Linked DNA regions of Bombyx mori. The protein of the gene in region 6 purifies or fractionates together with the protein of the main gene of each other region. This does not show direct contact. Links are inferred from orthologs where the notes say so. Each region holds a gene or a part of one and is shown on either strand. Other genes may lie near its edges.

The links.
Region 1: the proteins of chromatin assembly factor 1 p55 subunit (region 6) and chromatin assembly factor 1 subunit B purify together in Drosophila melanogaster (affinity purification with western blotting; 3 studies listed by BioGRID, with this or other methods). This does not show direct contact. The link is inferred for Bombyx mori from reciprocal best matches to the Drosophila melanogaster genes Caf1-55 and Caf1-105.
Region 2: the proteins of chromatin assembly factor 1 p55 subunit (region 6) and chromatin-remodeling complex ATPase chain Iswi purify together in Drosophila melanogaster (affinity purification with western blotting; 5 studies listed by BioGRID, with this or other methods). This does not show direct contact. The link is inferred for Bombyx mori from reciprocal best matches to the Drosophila melanogaster genes Caf1-55 and Iswi.
Region 3: the proteins of chromatin assembly factor 1 p55 subunit (region 6) and chromatin assembly factor 1 subunit A purify together in Drosophila melanogaster (affinity purification with western blotting; 3 studies listed by BioGRID, with this or other methods). This does not show direct contact. The link is inferred for Bombyx mori from reciprocal best matches to the Drosophila melanogaster genes Caf1-55 and Caf1-180.
Region 4: the proteins of chromatin assembly factor 1 p55 subunit (region 6) and chromodomain-helicase-DNA-binding protein Mi-2 homolog purify together in Drosophila melanogaster (affinity purification with western blotting; 4 studies listed by BioGRID, with this or other methods). This does not show direct contact. The link is inferred for Bombyx mori from reciprocal best matches to the Drosophila melanogaster genes Caf1-55 and Mi-2.
Region 5: the proteins of chromatin assembly factor 1 p55 subunit (region 6) and metastasis-associated protein MTA3 purify together in Drosophila melanogaster (affinity purification with western blotting; 4 studies listed by BioGRID, with this or other methods). This does not show direct contact. The link is inferred for Bombyx mori from reciprocal best matches to the Drosophila melanogaster genes Caf1-55 and MTA1-like.

Annotation. Positions count from the first base shown.
Region 1 is NC_085118.1:947,934-952,371, reverse strand, and holds the start of chromatin assembly factor 1 subunit B, read right to left. Parts: upstream 2,896-4,438; 5' UTR 2,724-2,895; coding exon 2,595-2,723; intron 2,459-2,594; coding exon 2,231-2,458; intron 1,745-2,230; coding exon 1,536-1,744; intron 1,185-1,535; coding exon 918-1,184; intron 544-917; coding exon 331-543; intron 1-330. Other genes in the region: RpL36A (ribosomal protein L36A), read left to right, coding at 4,410-4,412.
Region 2 is NC_085119.1:7,657,706-7,662,050, forward strand, and holds the start of chromatin-remodeling complex ATPase chain Iswi, read left to right. Parts: upstream 1-1,454; 5' UTR 1,455-1,650; intron 1,651-1,754; 5' UTR 1,755-1,886; coding exon 1,887-1,937; intron 1,938-2,046; coding exon 2,047-2,270; intron 2,271-2,451; coding exon 2,452-2,709; intron 2,710-4,345.
Region 3 is NC_085127.1:6,281,999-6,286,343, reverse strand, and holds the start of chromatin assembly factor 1 subunit A, read left to right. Parts: upstream 1-1,415; 5' UTR 1,416-1,613; coding exon 1,614-2,615; intron 2,616-3,293; coding exon 3,294-3,501; intron 3,502-3,939; coding exon 3,940-4,345. Other genes in the region: uncharacterized protein LOC101735561, read right to left, coding at 524-551.
Region 4 is NC_085116.1:13,711,250-13,715,503, reverse strand, and holds the start of chromodomain-helicase-DNA-binding protein Mi-2 homolog, read left to right. Parts: upstream 1-1,405; 5' UTR 1,406-1,783; coding exon 1,784-1,820; intron 1,821-2,233; coding exon 2,234-2,304; intron 2,305-3,413; coding exon 3,414-3,536; intron 3,537-3,998; coding exon 3,999-4,143; intron 4,144-4,254. UniProt on the Drosophila melanogaster protein: ATP-dependent chromatin-remodeling factor which acts in nucleosome-remodeling by catalyzing ATP-dependent nucleosome mobilization. Involved in regulating transcription. Plays a vital role in development.
Region 5 is NC_085131.1:3,871,341-3,875,040, forward strand, and holds part of metastasis-associated protein MTA3, read left to right. Parts: intron 1-282; coding exon 283-396; intron 397-2,180; coding exon 2,181-2,338; intron 2,339-3,197; coding exon 3,198-3,304; intron 3,305-3,700.
Region 6 is NC_085109.1:4,082,580-4,085,764, forward strand, and holds part of chromatin assembly factor 1 p55 subunit, read left to right. Parts: coding exon 1-158; intron 159-672; coding exon 673-790; intron 791-1,053; coding exon 1,054-1,184; intron 1,185-1,518; coding exon 1,519-1,696; intron 1,697-2,297; coding exon 2,298-2,390; 3' UTR 2,391-3,185. UniProt on the Drosophila melanogaster protein: Core histone-binding subunit that may target chromatin assembly factors, chromatin remodeling factors and histone deacetylases to their histone substrates in a manner that is regulated by nucleosomal DNA.

The DNA.
Region 1 (4,438 bases), on a different chromosome or scaffold from region 6:
GATCCATTAATGTGAAATGTTTTATAAATTTCAAGATTTTAAATTAACAAAATCGATTATAGTAGGTATCTAAGTTTCTCCAGTTGGTAAATTTGCGACTCCTTTTTGGCTAAGATCCATTCTCATGGGAGTTCACATGCCTCAATCGGTCGAGCAGAAATTTTCTTTAATTTTACAAAACTATATCACTAGTACATCATGGATGTAATGTTATGAACTTGATATGTTGAGCATTTAATAAAAAAAATATTATTGGTATCTATCTGTCAAGATTAAACCACTATTACTAATAATTTTTTGTTATTTTGTATTATCAAGATAGTTGGTTACCTAGTGTAATGTACATTGGCAACTATGGCTATGGGAGTCTTCTGTTGTGTGTCGTACACCAACACGGAGCGCCTGGTCCCCACGGCCAGCACGTGCCGGGCTCCGCTCGGGGACGGCAGGCGAGGCGCGGGCCCGGCGGCGCGGGGGCGGAACCCTATCGGCGACCAGCGGGTCACCAGGGCTGGCTCGCCGCATGGTACCACACACACTGGGCTGTAACGGACAGTTATATGAGTGCCTCTCATGCAACATGCTGCAAGTGAAGATGCAACCATGAGCCTTGGTTAAATAAATTTTTGCATTATAGATGAGTGGAAGCTATTAGCTGCTATTATTTATTTAAACTAGATAAAGAAATCTTGAACTGAAAGTCAACTGAGTTCTCCAATTGCAACATATCACATGCCATACAAATAAATCTGATATTTTCTATCAGCAGAATAAAACTGTTGAGCTTGAACATTTTTAAAACAACCTTATCATGCAATTGTGTGCAATTTCAAATCTGGAAACCGTATTGAAAGCAAAAAGTTAGCTTGTCACATCTGAGTCTATGGATTCTGAAAACAATGAATTAAAATACTCACATTTTCAAACAATATCTCGTATAGATATACACGGCATTGATTGGTTTTACATCAGGTTTTCCCTCTGGCTCCACTCTCCCTGCTGGAACTGCAATGTATAGGCCGTCCGGGCTGAACTGCAGTCGTCGGTAATATGTTTGGAGTGTGTCATCATGGTATAGCCGTTGTCTGGAGCCGTGGAGAGGATGGTCAGTGGGGAACGGGAGAGATGCTTTGCTGCTTCTTGATACAACCTTCTTGGTAGATACATCAAATGCTCGAAACACTCTGTTGATATGAACTATTTACATTACATTTTCAAGTCTTTTATAATATTGAATGAATAATCAATTAATCAAATTAGGATTCCCTCTACTATGAGAAACAAAAACTCATATGAACATATTAATATAGATTTAAACACCTAGATGCAAATTGCCCAAAGCAGGCATCAAGCCAACAATCCTGTCTAGCAGTCAAGGGTGCTAACTTTGTTATTCCAATCATCACCTTTTTGATATTTTCATCAGGTATAGAAGCTACTTTTTTACAACTAATTTGATATCATTAATATTTGTAACTACTTATGATGAGATTACTCTGTTAAATTATTGTTTTAAATTATTATTTTCAGCTTACCTGTCTGTACTCGTAGATGTTATGTACTGTCCTTTAGGATCCCAACAGACACCTTGCACAAACCCTTTGTGGTCACTAAGTATAGTAGTGTAACGAGCTCTGTGTATGTCCCAAACAATTAATTTGTTATCTACTGAGCCAGAAGCCAACTGTAAGCCGTCCATACTCCAGGATATGTCAAGGACATCTTCCATGTGCCCTCGAAGAGTCTGTTTTGTGGAATAATTCTTACCATTACTCTTTATAAATTTGAAATAATTATGCTATTCATGTAAACATGACAATTACTGCATATTAATTGTATTTTAATTCTGTTTTTGTTCAGTACTTTTGACTGACTGTAATTAGGTTAGCTTTTTAAAAGATGAAGAATCAGCCACCACATTTCAAAATAGCCACATGTTTAGGTAAAATGTGTACGTTTAAGATATTTGTTACAAAAATACTATTGCAAAATGAAAATCAGGGTTTCTGGGCTTTCTTTGGTTTAATGCATTTTTAATGACATTTTGAAAACAGAATACCTATAAGTTTTTAATAGCAAACCAAGAGTGAAATTTTGTAAAAAAAAAAGAAAGTGTATACTTGGTATTGGTTGGTATGTAACTGAAAAGAGATGAGGCTAAGAACAATTGGGCATTACGTGGAATATGTATAGCCAGATTATATCTAGTAGATAATGAAGAAAATCTCACCTTATAAACAACCCAAGTTTCTTTATATTGCTCCTCACCCTCAGTTGCCGGAGAAAGTTCTTCCAGTTTCTGCTTCCAAATGAATATGATGGACTCATCATCCCCAGAAGCCAATAACTGTCCATTAGGTGACCATCTCACTACATTCACAGCTTTCTGATGCCTTGTTAAATCAGCTGCTACTTCAAGATGAACTGAACCCGTCTCCGTGGTTGATAAATACCAGATCTAGTATTAAAAAAATATAGACTTTATATCCTACTTTAGTATTAAATTCAATTTTTTTTCAATAACATTAGTATAAATAATCGCTGATAAAAATATAAATGATTATTTGTTCGTTCTTATTAAAAGATAGTTTTACCAAAACGTGTGAATCTGTTCCACCGCTGGCGAGTCGTAACGGGTCATTCGGTTCCGCTTTGGGCTGAAAATCTACACTTAGAACTGGATCACGATTATGCCAGGATATTTCTGGTATCGCAAACTTCATTTTTTTCTAATATTTAAAATTTAATAGAAATGGTAAACGAAGTAATAATATAAATTTAAATCCAAATAAGATAAGATGTATTTCAATCAATTTCTACAATAATTGTTAGGAAGCTAGCTTATTTTTACTGTTTATAGTTATTTGGCGCCAAAACAAAAGTGTCAAATTGAAGTTTTACCTAGCGGTAGTCCCATTTTTTCAACTGGAAAAGCGAAGGTATCGTACCGTACACCCCAATATTCTGTAAAATCTGTTTTATGAAAAATTTAATGGAGCAAAATGAAATGAAGTTGATGAATTTTAGATATTATTATTAATCAATTAAAATGAAATTAAAACGAGATTGTACGGGATGAAATATAGTCTAAGTATTTGATTTTTTACTGAGACTTTTTCGTTGAGAGAAGTAACATAAATTGTTTTTAATCTACACGAAACTAGATGAATTGGAATTACACAAAACGAAGTAAGATGATGAAGGTGTTTAAAAGTTAAACGTATAAAGACCTTTCATGTAGGGTATATTTAATTAAATATTCTTATTCACTATGGTTTTTATGTTAATGTCACAATCAGTTTTATAAAGGCTTTTAGATAACTATCTATCTTTTAGGTTTATGGCGTTTCCTTTTAGATTTCGCCAATGTCAAGTGTATTTAATACTCTGCTTTCTATAGCGGGCACCGTGATTTTTTTTTTATGATAAAAAAAATCTTCTCTCCACATTCTGTCACTGTCATCTGTCTTTCTTCCTTTTCTTCTTCAACTGCCTCCAAGTAGACCTTTTCAGTCGTCATAAATTTGTAAGAGTACGCTAATGTCGAATAAAATGTTTTCAGGTTCATCCAAAAGGTCCAGTAAGCTGTCATAAAATTTCTACGATTTCCCTTAGAGGTTATTCTTAGAACTGGCCTTACTATTTGTAACCATCATAAGTTTATTAAAAAAGAATAGTTGTTGCCTAACAACAAGTAGTTAGTTGTGTTGTTTCATGTAAAAATAAAAAGTCAGTATATACATCCGAAGATTATATTTTATTTTTTAACACAATTACCACAGTTATATCATTAGCCTGCCCGCTAATTTTCTCTCTGCTTCTGTTCAGTGGGCTGCGATTCCGATCCGGTGGTAGATACAACAAAGCACCGCTCTTGCTCGGCCCACTGGTAGCAAATCCTTTCAGGTTCGGCTCCGTGAGATTACCTACTAAGCGTGCGTTAAATAACGCATTAGACTATCGCTGCCGACGATTATGTAAATAAAAAAGCCAGTGATGCCATTTAATTTATTATTAAGTGTCACTATAACAAGGCTGGGCTAAGCCAGATCTCGGAAATAAGTTAAATCAATAAAATTTAGTTGATTTAATATTTAACTAAACATTTAAATGTGTTGGACGGTTAAATTTGAGGGGACTTGGGTTATGTAGGTGAGGGGCTATTTAAAAAACACTCTGCTTCATGATTAATATAATTATAATGCAAATACTTTGAACACTGTTACACCATTATAATATTTTATTTTTATAAAACTCCTAGATGTTGCTCTGACCGTGACAATTAACATGGGCTATGCTTACTTTGCCTGTTTAAATCAAACAAAAAAATGTCAAAGTGTCAAGTGTCATTGCTGGATTAAAGTATCTCTCTTTGACGTTTGTTGATATCGTGCCGAACGAACTCAAAAATGGTTGGTGAATTTGTAAAATAATATCG
Region 2 (4,345 bases), on a different chromosome or scaffold from region 6:
TTCCCGCCAAAAAGTCATGTCAAATGTCATATTCGCACTTCACAGTAGGTACCTACTTCACACACACTTCCATAGACCTATATACTTCAGTGCACACTTCACACTCACAGGCTCTCTCGTCTCACGCTTTTTTTTTCTGGCCTGTGGCCTAGCCTTCTACGAGGTCCCCGCGCCTAGGGGGCGCGTGGAACATCAGTGGCTGGTAAGCATCTGCGTCAGCCGAAAGGTGAGACGTCCGCGGTCGCGGCCCACACAGTCCGTGAGAACCGGGCGCACCGCTTCGACGATGCGGACGGTTCATCAAACGACGAGATTGTGCCTCCAGCATGGACCGCTGAGATTAGAGCCTCCGCGCTCGGATCACTCCTACACCAAGGCACCCTTCCCCCTTAGAGCGAAGACGTCTCACGCTTTGGTATTACCTTTTTTCTGCCTGTTCTAGTAACCTCGAGGGGTTATTCTAGATTCACTGAACTATTAAGTGAGCTCGCGGGGCTTAAACCTGAAGCTGTTGCTAACACGAACCGCTTGCCGAGCCTTTCGTCACAAGCGACCGATCGACGAGAACGATGACTGGTGCTTGGGGTACCTAAAAGTGCCGTTAGGGGATCGGGAGGATCTGAAATGACATATTTTGGGCGACGTTGACTGTTTACCATTTGGTCCGCAGGATCGGAAATGTAAAAAGCGGGAACGCGAGGTGTGAATTTATTTAGAATTTTAATTTACATACTTACATATTCTTTGGATTTAAGTGTGTATTAATTGTGGCTTATTAGCCATTTAACGTGTAAGTTCACAAACTTAAGACTGCATTTAACGTGTTTAGATTTTTTTGTTTGGTTTGTATTAAGCTATTGCATAGCTTTTATCGTGGACTTTGAGCGCGGCGACTGAATTAAGAAATTCCGTAAGGAAAATAAAATCTAACAACCCTCACTCAGTCTACGATGTAGCTCAAACATTCACACGTTGCGCTTGTGTAGTGTTTGTGAATAAACGCGCGGCGCGACGTCGCACTGCATGCGCATCATGAAAAGTCTGCCCATCTCTCTCTCGCGCGGTCTATGTAGCCCTTATATGAGTGTGAAGGGGACAGTTACCTAATGTTTTGCTTTTGTTAATGTTTATAAATATAGCGTGGTCTTATTTTATTATTGTTTTAATATTAAATTATTATTGTCTAATTATAATTGGATAAGTTGATAAAAAATGCTGTGCAAATAGCTTTATCGTGGCAGTCCCCGAGTGCTACACGTGTTTTTTTTTTGTCACATTTAAACAAAAAATATTTTCCCCTCATATTATTCGATTCCGTTGCATTTAATTACGTTCATAATCATCTTCCAATAACTCATCATCATCGCATTCCGGTCTATTTATACTTTTTGTCCATTAGAAAAAAGATTTGGCCTTTAGAACACATCAAGATTTGGCTTAAAAGACTAAAATTCAGGCTGTCAAACACTTTTAAAGGTGTCCTTTGCCTAAATAATTAGCTATAGTGTTTGTGACACTCTGTGATAATTTTTTGCTTTTGTCAGTTTGCGATTTTCGCGCCCGGTTGTAGTGTAATGTAATTACATTAATCTTCAATTGTGAACAATATTTAAACAATTCAGTCAATAGGTATACATTGTACTACAAAATGTAAGAATTTATTGAGTTCCAACAAGTTGAAAGTGTTCTTCTTTGGTTTTCATACATACTTTAATCTTCGAAGTATCTAGTTTGTAATGTTCGTATGTTTTCAGCCTTCATGCAGTCAATTTATAACTAAGTTGTTCAACCAGTGTACAATTGCTGGTTTCTGGTTTATTTGAATATATTTTCTAACTTCGCAATCTTGGTCATCTAGTTCAATATTGTTTTAACTGTAAATAAAAATGGCCCAGTCGGATGATGCCATGGACGTTGCCGATATTGGCGACAATTCCGTGAGTAGTTTAATTTTTTTATTAATAAACTAACTAACTGAATTTTACTTAAACTAAAACATTTAATGAATCCAGACTAATATTACCACACCCAATTTTATGAATTCAGAATGGCTCTTCAAGTGACACGACATCTTCAAGAGGGAAAGAAGGTGATTTCGAGAGTAAGATTGAAACTGATCGTTCCAAGAGATTCGATTTTCTACTAAAGCAAACGGAGATATTTTCTCATTTTATGACCAACACTCCAAAATCTGGTGGGAGTCCTCCAAAACCAAAGGCTGGCAGACCCAGAAAGATAAAAATAGATACTGAACCTGAAGGTCCTGGAGAGTGAGTATCAATATTACAAAGTATTACTTGTGACAAACTATAACATCTGTGTATCAATAATGTAAAATCTACTTGACAAATTATACAAGTATGGTGAAAAAATATAAATAGTATTATGTCCACTGAATGCTGTTGAAAGATAGATTAATAAGATTTCAAAACTTTTTTTTTCATGTGTCAGTCACAGACATAGAAAAACTGAGCAAGAAGAAGATGAAGAACTTCTGGCAGAAACAAATTCAAAACAAAAGACAATATTTAGATTTGAAGCATCTCCACATTACATAAAAAATGGAGAAATGCGGGATTATCAAGTTAGAGGGCTTAACTGGATGATATCATTGTATGAAAATGGTATTAATGGAATTTTGGCTGATGAAATGGGTCTAGGAAAAACTTTGCAAACAATTTCTCTACTTGGATATATGAAACATTTTAAGTAAGTTCAAAATTGTTACATATGAGTCGACTATTATCAAAGGCGGCAATCTGACTTTTGGACAATGATTGGTAAATCAGAAAAACGAATTATTGACTTTGTATTCCATTGGCAGTCACAAAACTCTTCGGAACGACATCTTAGATAAATAACAGGTTAACTATTAACCATTATTTAATGCAGGTTTTGAACCGTATTCTTTGAAGGAGACGATTATATTCAAATAAATCTGTATTGACATATCAATAAATTTTTTTTGTCCAAATGTACAGATTGCCGCCTTTGATAATAGACGACTCATATGTAATGTTCAGTGTGTTATAAAATATATGCAAACAGTTCAATATATTTATGGGATTTCCAATTTAAGTGCCTGTGTACCCAATACACAAAAAAATAAAAAGTTTGATAGCAATCAAGTGTAACAACTTTACTTCTGCTTTGTATTCAAACAGTACAATAGTAAGTTATGTTATCATTTATTGCCTAGGTTGTATTATGTAAGTTAAAGGTGTGATTATGGCTTTGTGATAGTAATAACTAGTCTTAGGACAGGTTAAGTAGTAAAAAAGTCTGGACGTGTTTTTTTTTAATTATTGAAATCCTAAACTTTTTTGTATAAAGTATCTGTACCAACAGTCTAGAGACTATCAAAATCACTTGGTAGGGTATGCTATGCAATGCAGACCATGATTAATGATGAGTCTTAGTGTCTGCCACAGTGAAGCTTTAGTTGCATGGGCAGTTCCATGACATGTATCTTGAGCCCATTGGAAGAACTGTTGCACCAGTTGGGATTACTGTTTTGCTGATTAATCAATTTTTTGTTTAGATAATTTTCTCATGAACTGAAAACATGTTAAGTGTCAAAGTATTTTTATTTTTTTATTTATTGCTTAGACGAGTGGACAAGCTCACAGCCCACCTGGTGTTAAGTGGTTACTGGAGGCCATAGACATCTACAACGTAAATGCGCCGCCCACCTTGAGATATAAGTTCTAAGGTCTCAGAGTAGTTACAACGGCTACCCTACCCTTCAAGCAGAAACGCATTACTGCTTCACGGCAAAAATATGCAGGGTGGTGGTACCTACCCATGCGGACTCACAAGAGGTCCTATCAGAAGAAAACAATATTAGTATCCCAATATTTTGGGATCCCCAGTGTACATCTACTCAGAATCATATGTATAAAGCTACCTATGATTCTGAGTAAGATTTTTAGTTGGGCACTAAAGCCATAAAAGATTGAAAGTAGATTTTTAAATTATAAATTTATTGTCAGTGTAAAGTATATGATTTTCACCAAGCTTTGAAGTGCCTGTGGCCAATAAGAAAATGTACCCAGTGTATTTGCAATGATCTGCATGGTGAAATTGTTAAAATACTGCAGGCAGTTATCAATGCTTCTTAAAGTAAATAAAGTAAAGTAAGTCCCTAACCCACATTCTGGAGTGGATTTCATGACAAAGGCAACACCATCATCATGTTCTAAAGGATAAGAGATATGTACAGCTTACTCATGTCAAGTAATGTCATCTTACCTGTACTGGCAGGTAAGATGACAATTTTTATTAGGAAATTTGGTTTTAACAGTGGGTGTGTTGTAACAGTGTTGTTTGTTTATACTTTAAATAA
Region 3 (4,345 bases), on a different chromosome or scaffold from region 6:
GGAAACACAGAATTTATTGCGCTTCGTTTATAATAATACTGCTTGGAATACTGGTTATCCGGGCCACGAGGTATTTCTGGCGTAGGTACAGACCTCGGGGACATAAGAGGAGGAAATCGTCCGTGAAGATTGTGTTTTCGACCTAACAAGATATCACGAAAAATTTTAAGCCCTTTAGAGATGTCTCTGAAATCCCACTTTGGCTTAGACATATCTTACACTGTAAATCAATCAATCTACAGGCAAAACTTTTACTGGTTTATATGCCAGATTTATAAAATTAATGAAAGTTTGTTTATGCGGTGATGCCAATCAAAGTAAACATAAATAATTAATCATATAAATCATACGTCAATTATTTACTACTTTTATTTCAATTGTTTTGATGTATGAATTATAAAAAACCTGAAACTCCATCGCGGAGGCAGCAGTTGGCGCTAGTCTCTTAATAAAAAAAAAAAAATTAATCAATCATTATGAATGATATATTAGGTATTTAATCCTCTAAGTCTTTAAACGTTACCTCCGCTATTACGTCCGGAGTTGAGCATTTCAAATTTTTCATTTTTACTTTCTCGTAATTAGTACCTACCTATTCACTGACTTTTACATGACGTTTAAATTTCGGAACTCCCGTAATAGAAATATTCAGAGCTTGCCCTTTGCTAAAGAGCTACATATTTAATACGAGATTTCTTTTTTACTGGTGGTAGGACCTTTCGTGAGTCCGCACGGGTAGGTACCACCACCCCGCTTATTTCTGCCGTGAAGCAGTAATGCGTTTCGGTTGAAGGGTGGGGTAAACGTTGTAACTATACTGAGACTTTAGAATTTATATCTCTAGGTGGGTGGCGCATTTACGTTATAGATGTCTATGGGCTCTAGTAACCACTTAACACCAAGTGGGCTGTGAGCTCGTCCACTCACCTACGCAATAAAAAAACAAAGATTACTTCATAGACACGAGCTTCGAGCTTATAATTTTTTTATTCTCTAATGGTCCATTCAGAATACATATTATTATGTCTAACTTTCCTGACCTATAAAACGAATTCCGCACTTGACCAACACTAAATTCCGTTGCATTTAACTTTTCCTACAACAGACGTAAGGGTTTTTGTAAAAGATTTAGCTGTATGGACTATGACTTCTTTGCCTGTGGATCGGACGAATTTTAAAAATAAAAAATCACTAAGTGCGTTAAAAAACTATAGGTATTTACCTAAAACAGAAAGTAATACTTAATTTAAGAAATTGAATATTATATCTTCGTCCTTAAATCACCAGAACAAAACCAGCTTATCTCTGAGAGTAAAAGAGTTTAATCATGGTTTGGATATCAAACTTAAGGAATAACAAAGTAAAACTTTCCGATCTTACATCATAGTGTTTATGATAAAATAAAACTGTGATTCAGGTTTTAGAACGTGTTTAGAACTCCCGCGTATTTCATCAGCTGTCAAAAGTTCATCGTGTTGTTGAATACATAGTTGAGTAGAATGTGTAATTAAAACTATTGAAATATTATAAAGATAAGTACAACTATTAAATTGTTAATAAATTCAAATTATAGTGGTTCATGTTGTGATTTGTTGGTTAATAAACTTTATAAAATGAAAGCAAACAAACCCCTCGATGAAACTGATGTGACTCCATCGAAAAAAAAGCTAAAACAAGCTCGTCTTCCTTTCAAACTAATAAGTGATATTTCCCCTAAACCCAAGTCGCCGCCGACTAGGAAAAGAAAGCTTTCGAATTCTGATACCGAAACAGTTACAAAAATAGGAAAAATATCGAAAGAAAATGATGTTCAAGAGCTGGTCATAATAAGCGACGATGAAAGTAAAGACTCGAAAAAAATGTTAAGCGATGACAAAATTGTAAACCCGTACGTTAAATTGGTTGATGTTGCTTGGAAGAAAAAACAAAAATTGAACAGTGCCAAAAGAAAGCAAATAAAAAAAAAGAATTCAACAGACCTACCCAAAAATGATCAGAATGACACAGATGAAAAGAGCGATGAAGATAAAATGAATGTTGATGAACCAGTGGATAGTCCAGAAAAAAATGTAGACATGACAATTTTAAGTAACAGTACTTCAAGAGTTACAGATAACGAAATTGTTATATTGGAGGACTCTAGTGATCAATTTGATACTAAAATGAAACTAGAAGCTGATATTGAGCCAAAAGCAAATGGCCGGAAATCTCCAAGAGAATCTAAATCTAATAAAATTGAACAAATTGAAAAGTCTGCTGAATACCAAAAGTCACAAAAAGAGAATCCATTAAAAAAAAGGAATGAAAAAGATAGAGAAAGTATATCTTCAGATGAACTAGAAGAAGCTTCTGATGATAGAGACAAGATTGCTGAAAAAGCTTCAGCTGAAATTCAAAAAGAGAATAATGTAACACCAAAAAGGAGCAGCCGGAGTGCAACAAGAATAGCTCAAAGTAACGATGCTAAGAAGTCTCCAGTATCCAGTTTGAATGAATCTCTCTCTTCAGATCCTACATCACCAAAACATAGCAGGAGTTCATCAGTAACAAACAGTCAGGCTGATGAATCTTTGAATGACTCTATGTCTGGTAGAAAGAATTTAACACCTAAACAAGTAAGTTTGAAACTGAATTAAAATAACAAACCTTTATATCTTTTTAATATTATGTTACTGCATTATAAGCTTGATGTATTGAGTCATAGATGAGGGAGAAACTTCTACAATTAAGATAAAAAATTGTCTTACTTGATAATTATTAGTTTAGCTTATGACCATACCCTGTTTCTCTGCTGCTTGCCTTAATAATTTGTTTCAACACATAGTCTCATTGTATTTGTTTTTTCTTTAGGACTAAATTTCATGTAAAGCTGAAATATAATTTTTTATTTATTTTTAGTCTGTCACTGAAACCCGAAAATGTCTCATAAAAATGTTTGTTGTGAAAGAAAAACACACTAACAAACATATTGTTGCATCTAGAGTAATATTTAATTATCATTGTATATAATTTAATATTATTTTTATTTCTCTAGATGGGTAGACAAGTGCAAGGTTCAATCGATGTTGAGTGGTTTCAGAGGCCAATAGATATAATAGTGAACATTATCCAGTTATACAGTGATATAAATGTTTATAAATTGGAAATGAACAAAATCATGCGAATTTTGTTTATTTTTACTTACTTAATTTACGTTATACCCAAATAGACCTGTACATAGGTCTTATCCTTTAAATTATCTAGACTTGCATTTATACTGTGTAGAACATTATTATATCCTTTTTCCATAACAGTTACAGAAAAAATTAGAATCTGCCAAAAAGAAAGAAGAGAGAGAGAAAGAAAAACAGGAAAGGGAGAAAAAAAGACAGCAAGAGAAAGATGAGAGAGCCAGACAAAAACAAGAGAAAGAAGATATGAGAAAAAAGGAAAAGGAGGAAAAAGAGGAACAGAGGCGAAAAGAAAAGGAAGAGAAAGAAAAACAAAAAGAGCTTGAAAAAAGTAAATATAAAATATAATCTAAGACACATTATCAAATCACATCAAAGGGTCAAAGTCCATGTTTTGAGTTACTTATTCGTTTTTGAACATTAGTAAAGTTTATACAAAAATGAGGTATATTTATATCTTTATTCATTACTAGCTGACCCAGCAGACTTCGTAGTGACAGACCTCAATTGATAAATAAAAGACCTAAACTTTTGTATAAAATAAACTTAAAACAAACAAAAAGAATCTGTCCCACGGGGGACACATCAAAGGAAAAACAAAATTGTTTGTTCTTATATAATTCTGAGCATTTTCATATTTATTCACCTTTTAAACCTTCTCTGGACTTCCACGAATAATTCAAAATCAAAATTAGCCAAATCGATCCAGCCATTCTCAAGTTTTAGCGAGACTAACGAACAGCAATTCATTTATATAATTAACTTCCAGAAATAAGGGATGAAAAAGAGGAGCAGAAAAGGAAAGAAAAAGAAGAGAAAGAAGAACAGAAAAGAAAGGAAAAAGAGGCAAAGGAGGAAGAGAAGAGAAAAAAACAAGAGGCTTTAGAATTAGAAAAACAAGAACAAGAACTCAAAAAGAAAAAGACTGTTGAAGCATTTGTCAATTTTTTTGTTCCAAAACAAAAGTCGGATAAAGACCAAGCCACAGTTGGTTCAATCAGTAAAAATAATATGCTATCTAGTTTTACTTTAAAATTAGACATGAGATTAGCACCTACAACTAGAGCTGAATTGAGTGATGATAAGAGACATCAGTTGGACAATTTTATTAAGGAACAGAAGTGCAAAGAACATGAACTATATCTTAAATGCCTTAAGGATGGAAACAGTAAACC
Region 4 (4,254 bases), on a different chromosome or scaffold from region 6:
AAGGTAGATAGCAACGCCGCCGCCTCTCCTATCAACACGATCATTCCGAATCAAATCGAAACCAGGAAGAGGATAACTAGTGGAAAGAAGATGAGGCTTTAGCCAGCTCTCGGATATCAGCATGAACGTCAACATTATCAAAACTTTCCAGAATTTCACTTTAATGACTGGGCACACTTTGCGCATTAATGTGACATAAATTTAGTAGGCCCGAATTTTCGCTAAAACATCGTCGTACACAGTCACCAAGAGTACCAGATACTGAACAAAAACTATCCTCATTTAACGAAGAAACAGAAGAAAGAGATTCATTGGCAGAAAGATAAAGGTCGTCACATGAACTACTCATAAATAATTAATCAATGCAATACAAATACAATGCACAATTTAAATATATACTATTATCTTATAGATAGACTAGCGACCCGCCCTCGCTTCGCTTCGGAAACATTAAAACACCCATGAAACCAAAAAAAATAAATAAAAAATAAATAAAAAAAAGTAGCCTATGATCATCAGGGACAATGTCGGCTTCTAATGGAAAAAGAATTTTTCAAATCGGTCCAGTAGTTTCGGAGCCTATTCGAAACAAACAAACAAACAAATCTTTCCTCTTTATAATATTAAAGTAAAAGTATAAGTATAGAAAACAAATTTTATAAAAGTTATTGATAACTTAAAGTAAATGCAATGAGTTCAAAAACAAAAAAACAAAAAGATGATTTCTCTGCACCACCCGCCAGCCAATACACAGTGTATACATAATAAAATAAAAAAAATTAAAATAAAAATACAGACTATTTTCAGCACACAAAATCAAACCAAAAAATTAAAACAAATTATAATAAAAAAAATCCTAAAATCAAAAAAGGGGGGCCAAATTTACAGAGCCGCATAAGACAGTTCTCTTTCTATGCTGCCAACTCTATGGTGCTCCCATGGAGTTAATAAGTACCTACAAGGTGCTCCAAATTTTTTGACACGAAACTTTTGACATTAGTGTACTGTATTACCAAGATTAGGGAAATGAGAACGGGACTGCCGGCTCTATACAGACCGCTGCAAAAATTTCATAGGTCTGATTATTGTTTTCTTGGTGTTTTATCTGTTGTTTATTTACTTATCAATCAGTAAATGCGTTACGTAATGTAATGTGAATGGAAGCAGTGTGTTAAATATAAAAACTACAAAATTTTGTGGTTTATGATTATCTTGTACCTTACTGATACCACGAGTACGCTATTAATTTTAAGCATTTGACTTTTCTCTTTTCAGTCTCGGTTTCCTATGATTTCTTTCGAAATGTTGTTTAATTTTTTTAGCGTATCACATCCCCGCTCGATGTCCGTGGCTATAGTCCCTTTGCTTAAACAACTTAAATGATTGCTACTAGTCGTCCTATAAATGTGCAACACAAGCTTGAGAGACTTCGATTGCGAAAGAAAATATGCTTTTTAAATTTTATTTGAACATTACATTTTCCGGTGGCTGTAAATAAATCAAAAGAGCAAATTACATAATTTAGGGAGAGAAATTACAATTTGTGCCCTAATTTAAAATTTTTAGTCTCCGTTGCAAATGTATGGTAACATTGCAGTTTTTTATTTTTCTTCTTTCAAACTTCAAGTGTAAAAGAGATAGTGAGTGTTGCTGGCTCGTCGAGAAGTGACGGCGGCATCAATTTCTGAATTAATTACCATTTGTCGCAAAAACTGCGCGTCCTTTATCTTTTCTAGCCAAAAATCTATCATCTTATTCCAAGTTGTGTTTGATAGTAATCTAAATGGCATCAGATGAGGAAGTGGACGGCTCTTTTGCAGGTAATGGTTTAGTTTAGCTAGCATGTCATAGGTAAGCCGCGAATAGCGGTATCATGTGTTTACTTGCGGTGCAATTAAAAATTTAATTTTTTTATTTTGAACTTGACGATTCCCTAAGAATGGTCTTCTTTCCGGTTAATATTGGAACGAAGAAACCATTGGTTGTCATCGGAATGACCTAATTGTTGTGATGCGATTGTAAATATTTTTGAGTGGCAGTTTGTGACAGAAAAGAACATGCGATATCCCCTCATTACTACTTAACAAAATGGACGCCGCCAAACAAAGGGATTAGTGACCTTAGCGCGAGGTGTGTGAAAATGTGGTTAGATACAAGATAAACAGTGTTCACCCAGACATTGGCAGGTGTGTTTGATGTTAAGACTGGTTTGACCACTGTTGTTGTCTTGCAGGTGATGAGGAAGTAGAGGAAGGTGAGGGTCAAAATGACAATTCCGGAGATAGTGACGAGGCTCCACCAAAGGTAACACTTTCCTAACAAAATTTTAGTGAAATAGAAAAGTTTTATTTCATACTTGTATACTTTGCCCTCATCTTATTTATGATCATCATTTTCATCATAATAAACCAAGAGCTCTACCCATAATTCCAACTTGAAATGGGTTACCATATTTGAAATGAGTTACCATATTTGAAATGAGTTAGTGTCATCATGCTGTTTATACTTTATATGTTCTAACTATATGTTCAGGCTTGCAGGCTAGACAAGCCGTTAATTTGTAATGGATACTTAACATGTTAAGGTTTGGTGTTAGTAAGGACTGGTAAACTCTAAACTATGAGGACTCAGAACATTTTTGTTCTAAAATTTCAACCTTAAAAAGGCCAATTTTCACGACATGTATAACATGTCTTTTAATAGAATTTAATTTAATGTAAACACATTTTATTATTCAACCAAACAAAAAATAAAAAATAAAACACTTTCAGAAAAATATCAATAACATATGACTGCCAGTATCAATTTTTTGCAGGTTGTGAGTTGGTTAAAAAATTTAACAGTTAACTGTGGTGAATAGTGGATTGCTTTATTGTACTGTAAAAATAGACTGCTCATACCATTTACTAATACTATTTATGTATGTATGTATCACATCATTCAATCAATCCCACACTACTCAAAATAACAGGTATCAATGACTTAGATTGGCTAATGAATGTAATGTTTTTTCAACATCAAGGCATTAGTCTATTACTGTATGAGCTTTTAGAGCATTTCCCTACATATTCCTGTATTTCAAGTTTAAAAATAATAGTAAAAAAAATATCATGTAATTAGTTATGTCAATCTGGCTGATAATTATTTTTAAGTATCAGATCCCAGATTTTGAGCTGAAAATACTTATGGCTTATTTTCAGATACCCTAGTGTGTAATGTATTTTCGAGAATAATTATCATATAATTAAATAATTTATAAAATATATTTATAAACTTCATAAATCATTTAAATGAAAATTAGCAAACTATCAAAATCAATCCAGTTACCCAAAGTAGAAAGGGAATAAATGACCAATAATTATTCAATAAATATGAGCATTTCTTAATATAACACACAAAAATTCAAACTATAGGAAGATGAAGATTATTCCCCTGAAGATGGTAGAAAAAAGAAAAAGGGAAAGAAAAGGAAAGCCAGAGGAGAAGAAAAAAAGGGAAGAAAGAAAAAGAAGAAGCGAAAGAATGAAAGTGAAGATGTAAGTTCACAATGTATTTTATCATAGAATCATGTACCTACATTCTAAACGCAGAAGTAAATTTTTTATTAACTGTATTGTTGAAAAATTGTATGTTGCTACTCATTTCTAGATTTCTAGAGCTTATCTTAATTTTTTTTTAATATTTGAATAGTAGAGTAAAAAAAAGGCATGTATGCTTTACATTAACTTAATTAGTAATTACCATCAAATGAGACCGCCAAGTATCAAGTATATAAAATAGTTATGTTAATATTTGAATATTTGAAGATTTATTATTTATGATAATCTTATTGTCTATCAGTCTTATTGTCTAACGGTAGGCAGCGGCTTGGCTCTGCCACTGCCATTGCTGACGTCCATGAACGACGGTAACCACTCACCATCAGGTGGGCCTTATATGCTCGTCTGCCTATACGGCAGTAAAAAAAGACAATTTTTTTAAAATTTTCGATGGAACAGGATGATGATTTTGGCCTCGAGATGGAAGCAGAAGGTGACAGTGATTATGCACTGAGCGCTGTCTCTTCAAGCAAGAAATCCCGTAAAGGTCGAAGTAGCAAACACAACACACCATCCACAACTACAGCATCAGACTCTGGCTCTGGTATGTGTATGTTTTTTATTAAACATTTTTTTTATCTCTTGAATATGGAATTCCAAGTACCTACTAACTTGCATGAGTGTTAAATCCCTTACATGCACATAGAAATAGATA
Region 5 (3,700 bases), on a different chromosome or scaffold from region 6:
GAAAAACCGTGGTACTATTTGCCAAATTCAAATGATTATTAATGAAATGTTTTTTATGATTAAATTGATTTTTTTTTGTAGTCGTTGGCTCTTTGGAAGATCTGTGTCATAGTGCCTTCAACGCACGACATTGTATCATATTTACCTAAGCAAAGTTTCAGTAGTAATTTATAAAATCGGTTAGTGAGATTTACGTTTACGTCATATAAAATCTAATAAAAGGTAGTCTAGAGTCTAAAGTAGTTTAGAAGTGAGGTCGTGACGCGTGCGTGTGCGTTACAGACGGCAGCCTGCTGTACGAGCGCGTGCTGTCCCGCGGCGAGCTGGAGGCGCGCCGGGCCGAGCCCGCGCCGCCGCTCAAGCGCCGCGCCTACGACGACATCAACGGACTCGACAGTCAGTACCGCCCCGCACTCGATCACTTACCACCCGCATAAAACACGTTGACTGCCGTGTAGGTCATCGGTGCCCTACGCGGCGCATTGAAGTAATTTTTTTTTACAAGCGGCTCGCTCCGGCTCCGCTCTGATCTTTAACAAAAATTTCAACGATATTTGACGTTGTTTTATTCTTAAAAATAAAATAACACTTATTGCGGCATAACTAGTAACTAATAGTTAGACATATGCAGTCGCGACACTTTTTTGTAAATAATAATGTTTTCTACAAAGTCGTAGTACATCAATAGTTTTCGCAGGGCACGCGATGGAACATTTTAGGTAATATTTTTACACCTTGGGTAACATTATTGGAGTTTTAGTAAGGATCCATTTTTTTTCTTTCAAAAAATACTATAGCCTATGTCACTCGGGAATAGTTTAGCTTCCAAACAGTGAAAAAATTTTTCAAATCGATTCAGTAGTTTCGAAGCCTACTCAATACAAACAAACAAATCTTTCCTCTTTATAATATTAGTATAGATTGCCCTTGTAGGCAGACAACCATACGGCCCATCTGATGGTGAGTGGTTACCGTCGCCCATGGAATTCAGCATTGCCAGGGGTGCCTACCGTTAAGTACTCTCTCCACAAGCCTCGTTTGAAGAAGGATATGTCATAGCGCTCGGGAGACACCGTGGAGGGAAGCTCATGGTTTATCGATTATATCGATTTCTCTCTTCGATCACCTTACTAATACACGGAATATATAGTATACTGAAAAAAAAACCGGTAGATACTCAGAATGAATTCTCTATTTCTAAGAGACTTAAAAGACTAAAACATACATTAACAAACAAAAGAACTTAGTAGAACTTAGTAACAGAATTCGATATAATTACTTCAGTGCGCCGCGTAGGGCACCAATGACCTACATGGCAGTCAACGTGTTAACTTATATTCAAACGACCAACGAATTATATCATATAAAAAAAGATTTAATATTTTCGCAAGTTAATTAAGCTTTTAATTAAATAGATAATATTGTATTTAGAACAATGAGTAATAAATGTATAATTTGTTAAATGCTTACCTTTACGGAAACAGCAACAACACCAGGTTAGTAAATGAGAATTATAAAAATAAATAAATGTGGGGAAAAAGTAAATGTTATGAATTTCATAAGTTTATGGAAAATGTAGTGTGAGGTCTTTGGTGTTGTGAGGGTTTGTGTGCGTTGGTCGAGTTGTCCTCCGGAAATCTCGTCACAGTGGTCAATAAAACACTGAGTATGTTTATGTTATTCGCATCAGCGACCGCGTCGGATCGCTGCCCGTTAACCACTGACGTGTATAGCTTATTACTATTACTTTTACTGCATTGTAGGCTTAAGCGGGGCGGAGTATCACTCCCCAACACTAGGAAACAAAACTATCAAAACGTTATGTGACTGCATAGCTAAGGAATCACAATACCCTTGAGCTTTAATTGTTTCGGAAACCATAGGAAAAGTCCTTTCAAAAACCTTCCATTTCGTAAAGTCAAAATCTCAAAAGATCATTCTGGCCCAGAATGTCACATAGGAGATTTCAAATTTGCAACAACGATGTGTGATTTGTTAAATTTATATTTTTTATTTTTTTATTGTCCCTGTAGGCAGCCGAGCATACGGCCCACCTGAATGGTTACCGTCACCCATGGACTTCACCTACCGTTGAATGTTCGTACTGTACCTTCGACAGTTGAATGTTTTCCATTGTTCTTGTTACAATTGTACATATATGTATGATGCGGTTGTCGCAGGAGTGGGCGAGCGGTCGCGCGAGACGCTGGCGCCGCCCGCCAAGCGCCCCAACAAGCACCCGGCGCCCATGCAGCGGCCCTCGCGCGAGCAGTACGCCGCCATGTGCGCGCGCGCGCAGGCCACCGGACAGCCGCTGCCGCCGCACGTCTTCGCGCACGTACGTACCGCTCACTCTCCTCACTCCTACTCATGCGAACCACTGCTCTTGCTAGCCCTAGTATATATTTTATAAGGAATTTTATGACCTGGTAACTAAGACCTTTAAGTCATGTCTTATTTTAATTTATATTCTTAATTTTATTAAAAATGATAATATGGAGTGAAATGAAATGAAATGAAAATGATTAATTTGGGAGATTAATGAACTGGGATGAAATTAAATAAAACGAAATGACAGGGGATGAAATATAATCTCAGTAAAATAGTGGTATTTTACTGAGATTTTTCAGTGGACTTTTTGGAGGATCCCGAGAAGTTACGTCCAGCAGCTTTGTTTCATTTTCCCACATTTGTGCACAGATATCAAACAGTTAATAAACCACCGTTATTACACATTTAAACCTGAAGAAACACTAAATAGACAAAATAAAACAAATCACACAACTTCACTCCTCGCGTTCCCGCCAAAAAGTTCGCTAAGGCTAGTGTTAGCAAGGCCCCTCAGATTGAGCGCCTTGAGCTCACCTGGAGCGTAGCTGGAATAGGCTCTTAAGCTACCAGCGAATAGGTACGAGAAAAATGCACTAATCGACTGAACTTTTTGTACCAGATAGTAACGATTCATCCCAATATACAATTTGTTTTATTATTCGCGAGTTACTAATTTAGCATGCCTAAATTAACGATTTCAATTAATAATTTAGAATATAGAAAAACATATTAGATTTGAATTATGTTGACCTTGTTTTCTAGAAGATTGTCCTGTAACTTATAACAACCGCTTTTAATATTAATAAAAAAAAATTTAATAATAAATAAAAAGATAGATTTGAGTTAATAATAAATGTACGTGTTAGGTAAATGGCAAACCGACAAACATCACAGGACGCGGCGGCCGCCGACACGTGATCTCGTGGATGGACGCTCCCGACGACCTATACTTCAGAGCCACCGATGCGGCCAAGTGAGTGCTTTCTAATGTTTAACCGTTGTACGTGCTCACCGAGCCTATAGGTACCGTGAGAATCGACATTATGTCATATACGACTCTAACAAAAACGAACGTAAAATGCTGCCAAGTAAAGGTATTAGAGGTAAAATAATGGTAATTGAAAGAAATAGAAGCTCTTTTAAGTTTCAGACCTAAAAATCCATCCTCATTTATTTAGTCAAAGTTTCGACTCAATGTTACATGGCAATGTTACATTTTACTAAGAATGTACCTAAGACGTGAGACGCGAGTGGCGCCGCTGAGTTTGTCGCAGGACCTTCTCAGCGGTAGTAGATTCATTCGCGAAGCAATTGCTATTGAGTTGTAAGGTCTCCTTCGGAGGCGCTCGGGTGGCTGTTAGCTAATCCC
Region 6 (3,185 bases):
GACATCAACGCGACGCCAAAGGAGGGGCGGGTCATCGAAGCGAAGTCCGTGTTCACCGGCCACACGGCCGTCGTCGAGGACGTCGCGTGGCACTTGCTACACGAGTCGCTCTTCGGATCCGTGGCTGACGACCAGAAACTGATGATATGGGACACCAGGTAACACCAACAACTAACTTTTTGAGGTTCTTTTTTATTGCCCCTTGTAGGCAGACGAGCATACGGCCCACCTGATGGTGAGTGGTTACTGTCGCTCACGAACGTCGGCAACGCGTGGGGCAGAGCCCAGCCACAGCCTACCATTTGAAAAGTTACAATTGTAAATATAAAACATTATAAATGAGACAAGATCAAGACATACTGATTATGTAATTGTGAATTGTACAATACTTATTAACTAAGAGACCTATTTAAGACAATCATGATAATAAAATCATTAGTTTGAATATGAAAGTGCTTTTCCTATCATGGCATGATAACACAAACAGGAGGTTGTTTTCACATATTTCTGCAGATAACTTGTATTTGGTATTGACCTTCATTACTTGTTAATAATTACCTTTAATTATTTTTTTATGATATAATGACACATTTCGTTTAAGTGTAATAATGAGGTATGCATATATGGTAGTAATAATTAGTAAAATAGAGCACAATTATGTTGTAATTACAGATGTAATAATACATCGAAACCATCTCACACAGTGGACGCACACACCGCTGAAGTTAACTGCCTCAGTTTCAATCCCTATTCAGAGTTCATTCTTGCTACTGGCAGTGCGGATAAAACGGTAATGTTACTAATTTTAATTCAAATATACACATCTAACAAGTCAAAACTTCCATAGCGTTTTGCTTATTATTTAATTGTAATATTTATATATCAATTTTTTGTAATTTAACGAAACTTGTGTTCACAAGCTTTGAATTCAATCAGCTCATGATACACTGAAAAATGAAACTACAGTTTTAATATCATAATAAACTAAATAATAAATAGCCTATCCTTAATAATAGGTTAACTACTATAACTATAAATATAATTTCCGTCTAGGTTGCGCTTTGGGATCTACGCAATTTGAAATTAAAGCTACACTCGTTCGAGTCGCACAAAGACGAAATATTCCAAGTACAATGGTCGCCACACAACGAAACTATTCTCGCGAGCAGTGGTACCGACCGAAGGTAAAATTACAGATAATTGAATTTTCAAACTTTTTGTTACATCTTGTGTACAGACAAGAACTCTCAAAATAATAGTATTAAACGGTAGGTAAAATAAAATCAACACCCATAAAAAAAACAGATATGGAATTGAAGTTGCAAAGTAAATATAAAAGCTCAGACTTCTTGTGGGCTTACAGCCACTTTTTGGGCTGATTTTAAAAATCGTAAACATGTACATCTAATTTTTACGCTTTAAATTTGGGAAAATGCACAATACTCAAGAACTGGGTTTGCTGATTGCTGTACGAGACAATAATTATTATGAAAGTTACTTCATTACTTGTTTTTTTAGACTCCATGTATGGGACTTGTCAAAGATTGGCGAGGAACAGACAGCTGAAGATGCAGAAGATGGACCCCCAGAATTATTGTTCATACATGGAGGACACACCGCTAAGATATCTGACTTCTCATGGAACCCTAATGAACCATGGGTCATCTGTTCCGTCTCTGAGGATAACATTATGCAGGTATGCTAAAATTATAGGTTGAATGTTTTTAGCTTAGATAGGCACCTTTTGGGAGAAAGCTGTCAGAAAACATTAATATTATAGTTGATCTTAATGCATAAAATATAATTGCTTTGCTAAAATATAATTTCTCCCTAGCACATAATTATTTATTGGTGTTAGAACTTCTTGTGAGTACACGTGGGTAGGCACCACCACCCTGCCTATTTCTGCCGTGAAGCAGTAATGCGTTTCGGTTTGAAGGGTGGGACAGCCGTTGTAACTATACTGAGACCTTAGAACTTGTATCTTAAAGTGGGTGACGCATTTACTTTGTAGAGCTCGTCCACATATATATGCCATAAAAAAAAAAAAAAAAACTACAAATCTAGGCTATTTGATAAATATTTCGGCACATCATCTCGGATCCTTCTAACAGTGCTTTTAGGTACCCCAAGCACCGGTCATCGTTCTTGTCGAACCCGTCGCTTGCGACTCACTGAGTTTCTCGCCGGATCTTTTCAGTCGCGGTTCAGACTTGGTGGTAGCTTCTTAGAATAGGTAGAAAAAAAATATATATTTGGTATTTGTTGTACATTGATTCGGTGCGGTATCTGTACAGGTGTGGCAGATGGCTGAGAACATCTACAACGACGAGGAGCCGGAGACGCCGGCGTCGGAGTTAGAGTCGGCCGTCAACGTCAACCACGGCTAGTCGTCCTGTCTGTACGACTCATGTGCTCTGTGGAGAGTGTGAAATAACAACATTGTTTAACATTCACTTTTTAATCGTTAATCTGTGAGATAACTCTGCTACAACCGAACAATAATGGGGTACAAGTTTTCGGAACTGTTCTTAGTTCTATAGAATTTTTATCATGTAAACGTTATACAAAACACTAAAATCTTGTTGGAAAAAATGACATTTATTAAAATGCTTTGTAAATATCATTATGAAATTTAACTAACTAATGATCTGCTATTCTAGCTAATTATCTGAGTTTTTTCGAAATATTACAAACAGCATTTTTTACTTCTAATTGAAATTACCACAAAATTTTATATTTTCAATATTTAAATGCAAAAAGTTGTCCCGTTTTTCATACTTTTCAAACTATTTGACAGTAAACAGTATATTAAACATACAAGTATAGATGTAGTGAGAAACTATTTTCCTTCGGGAAAACTCTTGATCTTTATCGGAATACGATGACACCCGAACTGTCAATGAATGATCGTATTAAATGAGTGACATTTTCATATCCATTAATAAGGAACTTTATTGTTTAGTCTCAAATGTCAAAATGACATTGTATAATATAGAGATGCTGCAACCATAACAATTATTACTTAAAACAGGATATTTACTAGGGTATTATACGAAATGAATTCCCGATATTTTTAAGTAATAATTGTTATGTTCGGGATGTGTGGACATAAGTTTCGTCAGTATTATACACAATATCTGCCTTCAGATCTATACTTCCTTATTAAGTCTACGTACTTTACT